3 linked regions of the Macaca fascicularis genome follow. The protein of the gene in region 1 interacts with the protein of each later gene in a pairwise test. Links are inferred from orthologs where the notes say so. Each region holds a gene or a part of one and is shown on either strand. Other genes may lie near its edges.

The links.
Region 2: the proteins of CEP70 (region 1) and METTL17 interact in binary tests that used the Homo sapiens proteins (3 or more experiments, as listed by UniProt). The link is inferred for Macaca fascicularis from reciprocal best matches to the Homo sapiens genes CEP70 and METTL17.
Region 3: the proteins of CEP70 (region 1) and HSPD1 interact in binary tests that used the Homo sapiens proteins (3 or more experiments, as listed by UniProt). The two-hybrid records come from large-scale screens. The link is inferred for Macaca fascicularis from reciprocal best matches to the Homo sapiens genes CEP70 and HSPD1.

What each region holds. Positions count from the first base shown.
Region 1 is NC_088376.1:41,405,627-41,409,285, forward strand, and holds part of CEP70 (centrosomal protein of 70 kDa), read right to left. Parts: intron 2,984-3,659; coding exon 2,893-2,983; intron 2,453-2,892; coding exon 2,329-2,452; intron 1,481-2,328; coding exon 1,300-1,480; intron 1-1,299.
Region 2 is NC_088381.1:88,659,309-88,661,672, reverse strand, and holds part of METTL17 (ribosome assembly protein METTL17, mitochondrial), read right to left. Parts: intron 2,185-2,364; coding exon 2,111-2,184; intron 1,468-2,110; coding exon 1,373-1,467; intron 888-1,372; coding exon 817-887; intron 637-816; coding exon 529-636; intron 271-528; coding exon 202-270; intron 1-201. UniProt on the Homo sapiens protein: Mitochondrial ribosome (mitoribosome) assembly factor. Binds at the interface of the head and body domains of the mitochondrial small ribosomal subunit (mt-SSU), occluding the mRNA channel and preventing compaction of the head domain towards the body.
Region 3 is NC_088386.1:93,105,863-93,109,186, forward strand, and holds part of HSPD1 (60 kDa heat shock protein, mitochondrial), read right to left. Parts: intron 1,689-3,324; coding exon 1,589-1,688; intron 735-1,588; coding exon 489-734; intron 1-488. UniProt on the Homo sapiens protein: Chaperonin implicated in mitochondrial protein import and macromolecular assembly. Together with Hsp10, facilitates the correct folding of imported proteins.

The sequences.
Region 1 (3,659 bases):
AACTCTGTCTCAAAAAAAAAAAAAGCCAACCTAAAAATATAGCATTCTAATAGTAGAAGAGTTTGTCAAACAATGTCTTCTCCGAAACTATGATCAATATCAGCAGCTCTAGTACTGCCTGCCCCAAGCTGGCACATAAACAAGGTCAGAGCACCAACTGCCTCTATCCTCATACTAGAGCTCCCTAGTATCTCTGGTTAATTCTCTTGGACTCCATGGAATTTATACTAACTCATCTGATCCTTCCAATACTGCCAGCATACACTGAGGGGACTTCCAGACCCTGCCTGATGAATACTGCTCCCTTTTAGATAGCCTGAACTCACATATGCAAAGGTTATATATATAGTGTTGTGTCAGCAAAACCACTAAAATAAGAACTTAATGTTTATAATGATATAATGTTGGTAAAGATCAGAAACATCTCACACAACTAAACATTAGTTACCAGCACAAGACTCATTTCCTTTAATCACAATAAACACCCACGTTTTAAGTTTTTAAAATTAGAAAGCTTAATTATTTAATGTCATAAAATTGCCATTTCTGTTTTAGACATAAAAAGTTGTAGATGCCAGCCAGGTGCAGTGCCCCACACCTGTAATCCCAGCACTTTGGGAGGCCGAGGCAGGCGCATCACTTGAGCTCAGGAGTTTGAGACCAGCCTAGGTAACATGGCAAAAGCCTGTCTCTATAAAAAATATAAAAATTAGCCAGGCATGGTGGCATATGCCTGTAGTCCCAGCTACTCCAGAGGCTGAGGTGGAAGGATCACCTGAGTGCAGGAGGCAGAGGTTGCACTGGGCTGTGATTGCGCCACTGCACTCCAACCTGGGTGACAGAGCCAGACGCTGACTCAAAAAAGTAAATAAAGTTGTAGATGCCTATTAGATATCCAGTAGAGATATCAAGTAGGCAACTGGATATGAGTCTGGAATTCGGGGAGAGGACAGGGCTACAGATATAAATTTTGGATCCTATATTAGATTGAGATTACCAAAGGAATCAAAGTGTATAGGAAAGAGAAAAGATCCAAAGACTGAGCACTGGGGAATTCCAACACTAAGAGGCTAGGGAGATGAGGGGAAAAAAACAGCAAAAGAAATTAGAGAATGATCAGTGAGGTCAGAGGGAAACAAAGAGGACATTCTAGAAATCAAGTGAAGAAAATTTCAAGGTAGCAGTGATAGGCCAGAAAAGGTAAAAACCACTGAATCAAACAACATGGAAGTCACCTGGGGCCATAATGAGCTGTTTTAGTACTAACTAACCATCATCTAGGAATTGATAACTCAGTACCTGTAAAGTTTTCTGCTCCTTTTGAAGATCTTTTATTTTATTCTGTTGCTGGCAAGCCCTATTTAGTGATTCATCCTCCAATTCACCAATTTTGGATTTCACACTCTCCATAATTTGTTCCAAGTCATTAGCTCGTTGTTCTTGATTGGTTGCTCGGCTGTGCTCTAGCTGAAGTTCATTTCTAAGTTAAAAGACGTACAATTTCTTCCCTTAGTATTAAAAATAAATCAAATTACCAAACATATCCATATAACAACATATTGACTTTCTAAAGTTTCTTTGCATTCTCTTTATCCAAAATGCTTGGAATCAGAAGTGATTCATATTTCAGATTTTTCAGACTTTGGAATATTTGCATCATACTTACTAGTTAAGTATCTCAAATCTGAAAATCCGAAATCCAAAATGCTCCAATAAGCATTTCCTTTAAGCATCATGTTGGTGCTCAAAAAGTTTCAAATTTTGGAGCCTTTCAAATTTTCAGATTTGAGATGCTCATCCTGCAACAGAAACTAATAGAAGAAATATAGGGTACCATTAAACATACATGCTAAGCTATTACCAAAAGATTTACCTATTAAAATTTTACCTACAAAAAAAAATATTTTTTTTCTTTTTTTTGAGACGGAGTCTCGCTCTGTGACCCAGGCTGGAGTGCAGTGGCCGGATCTCAGCTCACTGTAAGCTCCGCCTCCCGGGTTCACGCCATTCTCCTGCCTCAGCCTCCCACGTAGCTGGGACTACAGGCGCCCGCCACCTCGCCCGGCTAGTGTTTTGTATTTTTTTTTTAGTAGAGACGGGGTTTCACCGTGTTAGCCAGGATGGTCTCGATCTCCTGACCTCGTGATCCGCCCGTCTCGGCCTCCCAAAGTGCTGGGATTACAGGCTTGAGCCACCGCGCCCAGCCAAAAATATTTTTTAGTTTAATATTTAATCAAAATGGGAAATTAAATTTCAAGATTGTTTTCAATGCAGTTATTTTTAGAATGCATACAAACAATTCAAAAGAAATATTTTCCATTTTCTTACCTAAGCTGCTGATTAGTTTCTATAAGCTCCTGTATCATGTTCTGTTGACGTGATGTTTCTTCCACCAACAATTTCAAATTCTGTCTCATCCTTTGTGATGACTGCTTGTCAAAAATGATGAGATCTACATTTTAAAAAGTATGTAATACAGATAGTAAAAATAAAAGGCAAAAGATTTAAGATAAATTTTTTTTTTTTTTTTTTTTTTTTTTTTTGAGACTGAGTCTGGCTCTGTCGCCCAGGCTGGAGTGCAGTGGCCGGATCTCAGCTCACTGCAAGCTCCACCTCCCGGGTTTACGCCATTCTCCTGCCTCAGCCTCCCGAGTAGCTGGGACCACAGGCGCCCGCCACTTCGCCCGGCTAGTTTTTTGTATTTTTTAGTAGAGATGGGGTTTCACCGTGTTAGCCAGGATGGTCTCGATCTCCTGACCTCGTGATCCGCCCGTCTCGGCCTCCCAAAGTGCTGGGATTACAGGCTTGAGCCACCGCGCCCGGCCCTAAGATAAAAAAATTTTTAAGGAAAAATTCTTTTTAACTTAAGCAGCAAGAATAGGATCTAATTACCTTTGAGATCTGTTCTTTTGACTAGAGACAAAGGTTTTAAGCCATGCATCATCAATAGCACATTTATGCTTTCCCATTCTGCTTCCTCCTGCTACAATTACAAAGAGAGGGAAAAGGGTCAACTTTAAGATATAAAGTGAAGAAATTCTCTCAGACATAATTTCCTGCATTTTCAGAATAGAACATTTTCTTCAAAAGTTTTAAGTATAAATGTTTATGTATATACAATATCCAAAAAACACATTTATTGTTTCTAGCAAAATTAGTAATAGACTAGAAGTATGTAAATAAGCACAAATTGTTGCATTATACAGAATACTCACATGTAGGCCTCAATGGACAAAACCAACAACAATAAAAACACCTTGTAATTTCAGTGAATCAAACAACTCTAAGGTTTTAGATTTAATAAGCCAAACCACGCCCTGCTCAGAATAAACAGCTGCACACTAGGCTATAATAACTGAATAGTAAAGAAAAGGTGAGTCACTTCTAAGTATCACTTTCATAATGACTAGGGTCACGAAAAAAGCAAAACATACCTGACTAGTTGGAGCCAATATTTCAGACAGCTCCTTGTCAAATGGACAAGGTCTAACTATAAAAAGGAGCCTGTCCATCTGGATAACTGACTCTAACAGAATCATACTGAAAGATGCTCTCAAAGTCAAATAAATCTTTCTTTTTGACTGTTGACTTTTTCCTCCTTTTTTTTGACACCTCCTCCCACTCATAACTTTTCCCTCATTTATGCTTTAGTCTTTCTG
Region 2 (2,364 bases), on another chromosome or scaffold:
CATGGCTTATATAAAAACAGGTGGCAGGTCGGATTTGATCCACAGGCTCTCATTTGCCAACCACTGCTCTGATTCATAATGACTTTATATGCCCAGTTTCCTGAGAGTCACCCTTGTCAATATATGACAGTCTCTTTAGTTTTCAAAAGAATAACAGTAATTAGTGACATATGCGTGGGGGAGTGAGGGAAGAAGCCTTACCTTAAGGACCAGATCCCTGGCTTCCATGAGAAGTCTGTGCCCAGCTTTTGTTCCATTCTCCACCAGTACCTATTCACAAAAGGGAAAAATATGAAGACTTAAATTACATGAAAGTGTAAATGTCAGTAGCTCTGTAAAAGCATTATAGATGGAAAAGGGGTCCTAAAAAGAAATACGCATTATATATCAGGATGGAGACCCTCAAAGAGGGATAAAGAAACCCATAAAGGAGAAAAATGGTGAAGAATGAAGACAACGAGAGAAGCAAAGGCATGAAATCCATGAAGCTGCTTTAAGACTTAAGGAGAACAAGGAATTTTAACTCACCAGGAAATGACCTGTCTTACGCCATAAGGTTTGAACCACCTCAGTGCGGTCAGCCCTGCTGGGCAGTTCACTTAAGGAAAAGGCTGATACTACTACATCAAACTGCACCTGAGGACCAAGACAAAGAACATGACACACTCAACATCTCTGCATCCCAAGAATATAATAAAGTCCTAGCTGATAAATTTCTTTTATCTTCTGACACTCAGTGCTGGGCTGCAAAGCTCAAGCCATAGTTTTCCATCTGCCACATTCCACATTTAGAATATTCTAAACACTGCCACTTGCCTTGGGTGATACAGGTAGAAACTGTCTGAAAAAGACACCTGGAATATAAGGCTCCCCAGATTCTGAACCACCTGTGGAGAAAAGAAGAGGCAACTTTGAGTGTGTAGGAAGTTAGGTATAAACTGAAGAGATATCCAGATAAGAAACATGGCCCCAAGAATAGGGAAAGTGTCTATCAAAAAGGGCAGGGATGAGCCAGATATGGTGGTGCATGCCTGTAATCCCAGCTACCCCAGAGGATGAAGTGGGAGGATGGCTTGAGGCCAGGAGTTTGAGACCAGCCTGGGTAACAGGTTCTAATTAAAAACAAACAAAAAACAAAACAAAAAAAAAAAACGGCAGGGAGAATATTAGGCCTCTTGTCCTTTGAATCTTACCCAACCCATCCTCAGTCCAGCAGAAACCTCTAATACCGCCCTTTGCTTGACCATAACTTTAAAAGTAAACCAGATTCATCTTAATTTTTACCCTCTTCTCTACTTCCCAGTAAAACACTTTTACTAGTACCCCTTTGCTTTCTGAACTCCCTCAACTTTGGAAATGCTCTTGTACTCACCTTTCAGTAGTTTTTCTGCCAAAGCCAGCATGGCAGTTGATTTGTCCACACACATATATTCACGTAGGCTCTGGCCCCAAATACTGTTAGCAGCCCTAAGATGGCAAAATTATTATAAATCACCAATTCCCATGACCAAGAGTCATCTCTACAAGAGACCCATTTACACCCAACCCCACCCCTGGGAAAAGAGAGTGTTATGTTAAAATAGTTGTCTAGTTAGTAATAAAATAACTAATAGTGTTATTTTCTTGTTTTATTTACAATTGTTTTTAAAAAAAGGTAGACTCAGCTGGGTGCAGGGGCTCATGCTTGTAATCCCAGCACTTTGGGAGGCGGAGGCAGGAGAATCACTTGAACCCGGGAGTGGAGGCTGCAGTGAGCCGAGATCGTGTCACTGCACTCCAGCCTGGGTGACAGAGCGAGACACCATCTCCAAAAAGAGAAAAATAAAGGTAGACTCAAAATACTATTTGTAGGCAAAAAAACTTTGATTGATAATTCCTTTTCTTTTTAATTTTTCTAAACATGCGCCTTTTTTTCACTTGACATTTCTTTAAGTTCTGGCCCCAATCCATATACCTTCTTCTGCCTTGCCCAATCTGATGGAAGAAACATTATAGATTCCCAACTTGCCTATTCTCCCTCTGGTTTTCCAGTCTCTTAATTTTTGAGTGGTGTAAGTATGGCTTTCTAGAGCTAAAATTGACCAAGACAGGGCTGAAAAAAGTTACTCACCAGGTGACAGAACCAGTACCCGAGCCAAAGTCCATCAAAGTTTGTGGCTGAAATGCTGGATTTCGAGCCCGGATCTGAAGAAATATACAACATCCCACAGCAGAGTAATTAGATACTTATTTAGGACCTTGATAAATATGAATTAGGAGCCTATCACAGAGGATGTGAGATGTGAATGCTTTTTGAGATTCAATATAAATACCTTATGGGATAAGAATCTCTTAAAACAGTGATTCTAAACCTTTCTTGGGTCA
Region 3 (3,324 bases), on another chromosome or scaffold:
CCCAGCCTAGGTGACGGAGGGCTTAAAACAAAACAAGGCCGGGCGCAGTGGCTCAAGCCTGTAATCCCAGCACTTTGGGAGGCCGAGACGGGCGGATCATGAGGTCAGGAGATTGAGACCATCCTGGCTAACACGGTGAAACCCCATCTCTACTAAAAAAAATTACACAAAAACCAGCCAGGCGTGGTGGCGGGCGCCTGTAGTCCCAGCTACTCAGGAGGCTGAGGCAGGAGAATGGCGTAAACCCGGGAGGCGGAGCTTGCAGTGAGCTGAGATCCAGCCACTGCACTCCAGCCTGAGCGACAGAGCAAGACTCTGTCTCAAAAAAAAAAAAAAAAAAAAAACAAAACCCACAAAACAAAACAAAATTCCACTATTAATTCCTCAAATATTTGTTTAGTTCCATGGTACTACTGGGGAATACTACAGAAGGACAATCATTCTTGGACTCAGAACCCAAAAAACTTATTCATAATAATGAATCTTACCTTCAGCACAGCTACTCCATCTGAAAGTTTTGCTAGCCGTTCATTCAGTTTTTCCTTTTCATATTCACTAGTTGTGACATCTAACTGCTCAATGATTTCTTGAATACGTTTTTCAATTTTAACCTTGTCACCCTTTCCTTTTAAGAGCATGGCATCATCTTTGGTCACAATGACCTCTCCAACTTTTCCTAAGTCATGAGGCTGAACGTCTTCAACATTTATGGTCAACCCCTCTTCTCCAAACACCTACAAAATGAGTTAAACGTAAACCAGCTGTAGGTTACAGTTTCTACCATTATACCAAGTTTATTAATATACCAGGCAAGAGAATCATCTTGAAATATTCTTTGAAATGAGAGACTGTAAGATCATTGTTAGTCCAGAACAAGACTTGAGTATAGTCTTCCATTGCATTTCCAACTTCTCAATTCTCCCAACTCTGGTAATTATTATTAGCCTTACTTGAGAAAAAAACATCCAAGGTCACACTTACTGGTAGAGCCAGGACAAGACCATAGGCCTTGACTCTCAAGTCCTACATCATTTGTAGCACACACTTTTATCTTTCAAAACTGAAAACAGATCCCAGGACTTTGGGAGGCAGAGGCAGGCATATTGCTTGAGTCCAGGAGTTTGAGAAGCCTAGGCAACATAGTGAGACCCACCATTACTAAAAGTAAAAAAATTAGCTGGGCATGGTACTGCACCTGTAGTCCCAGCTACTTGGGAGGCTGAGACAGGAGGATTGCTTGAACCCGGGAGGCGCAGGTTGCAGTGAGCCAAGATTGTGCCACTGCATTCCAGCCTGGGTGACAGATCAAGACACCCTGTCTCAAAAAAAAAAAAAAAAAAAAAAAAAAAGAAACCCCTTATTCAGTCAGTAAGATTTAGTGAATATAGAATAGTCAATAAAAGCCCATTCTTAGGCCAGACTCGTGGCCTCGTAGCTAATTAAAGGGAATTTAATCCAACCCCTACCTTCCAAAGAGCCAACAGAAACAGATAGCTGTAGTATCTAATTGTGAAAAATGTTAAACTATCTATAAATTTCAGACAAGTATAAACATTCAGCAAACCATTATCGCATTTATTTTACTTACTGCACCACCAGTAGCAATAGCCATATCTTTAAGCTGGTTCTTTCTATTGTCACCAAACCCTGGAGCCTTGACTGCCACAACCTGAAGACCAACCTTTAGCCTGTTAAGAATAGTTGACAGTAAGATTTAAATGAAATAAAAATGCCTCTGTTTAAATTCCCCTCAAGCTCTGTTACTACTTAGATTACTTAGGACTCCCTAAGTAATCTGGTTTGGTTTTTGCTTTTTTTTTTTTGCTTCCTAGCAATTTTTGATCAAATTAAGACAGGAAAGATGTGAGACAGTTAAGGCTATTTTCTATTAATCTATACTTGTTCATATCTGTTTATCTTCTTAATAAACTGTTGGCCTTGCCGGGCGTGGTGGCTCACGAGGTCAGGAGTTTGAGACCAGCCTGGCCAAGATGGTGAAACCCCGTCTCTACTAAAAATACAAACATCAGCCAAATGCGGTAGCAGGCACCTGTAATCCCCACTACTCGGGAGGCTGAGCAGCAAAAATCACATCACAATAAGTTATAGGATACAGTGATTAACTATTATGAATGGTAGAAAAATAATTACTAAATACTACATTTGAGGGTCATTTAATAAACATCTACTCCATAGATTGTATTAATGCTGAGTTTTGAATGAGCAATGTTCTGAATTCACTTCTTTTATAAATGTTATACAAAAAGCTGACAGTATTGTTAAGCTCACCTGAAATTTTTGCCAGGTAAATGAATACTTAGAATGTGCAATCAAATGTCCATTTGAGAACAGATTGTGAAACAGAAGGAATGTTCAAACTTCAAGACAGCTGGTCTATTTTATTAAGGACCCAAATAAAAATTAGAGGAATAAGCTATATGCTATGTAAACTGGATATCCCAGTTTTCAACTAGCAGTTAAATGGCCTAATGAAAACTCCGTAGACTTGTTTTTTTCTGGCCTCAAGTCTTTAAGGTGAGATCTCGGCTCACTGCCAAGTTCTGCCTCCCAGGTTTACGCCATTCTCCTGCCTCAGCCTCCCAAGTAGCTGGGACTACAGGTGCCTGCCACCACGCTCAGCTAATTTTTTTTTGTATTTTTACTAGAGATGGGATTTCACCATGTTAGCCAGGATGGTCTCCATCTCCTGGCCTCATGATCCACCTGCCTCAGCCTCCCAAAGTGCTGAGATTACAGGCATGAATCACCGCTCCTGGCCAAGTCTTTTCTTAATCCCTCCAACAAAGCAAATCCAAGCTAAGAAAAACGTTCCAGGGTAAGGCAGCTCATTAGAGCTTTTGCGTCACATCAACACATGTAATGTCTAAAACATACCTCCTAATTTGTGCATTTCTACTATAATGAAATGGAAAGAAAAGTCTTGCTTCTGACATACTTCAATTCTCAGATAAGGAAGAACAAACATTTTAATAATGCCCTTAGAATTAAAAGATCAGCCAAGTGTGCTTGTGCAAGTGTGTAGTCCCAGCTACTTGGGAGGCTGAGGCAGGAGGATTGCTTGACACCAAGAGTTCAAGGCTTCTGTGAGCTATGATCATGCCACAGCAGCCCAGCCTGGGTGACAGAGTCTGTCTCTCAAAACAAATAAAAAATATTCGATGGTGAAATACACTTACATCTCAGTTATTTATTTAGAGACAGAGTCTCACTTTGTTGCCCAGGCTGGAGTGCAGTGGCACAATCTCGGAACACTGCAACTTCTGCCTCCTGGATTCAAGCGATTGTCCTGCCTCAGCCTCTGAG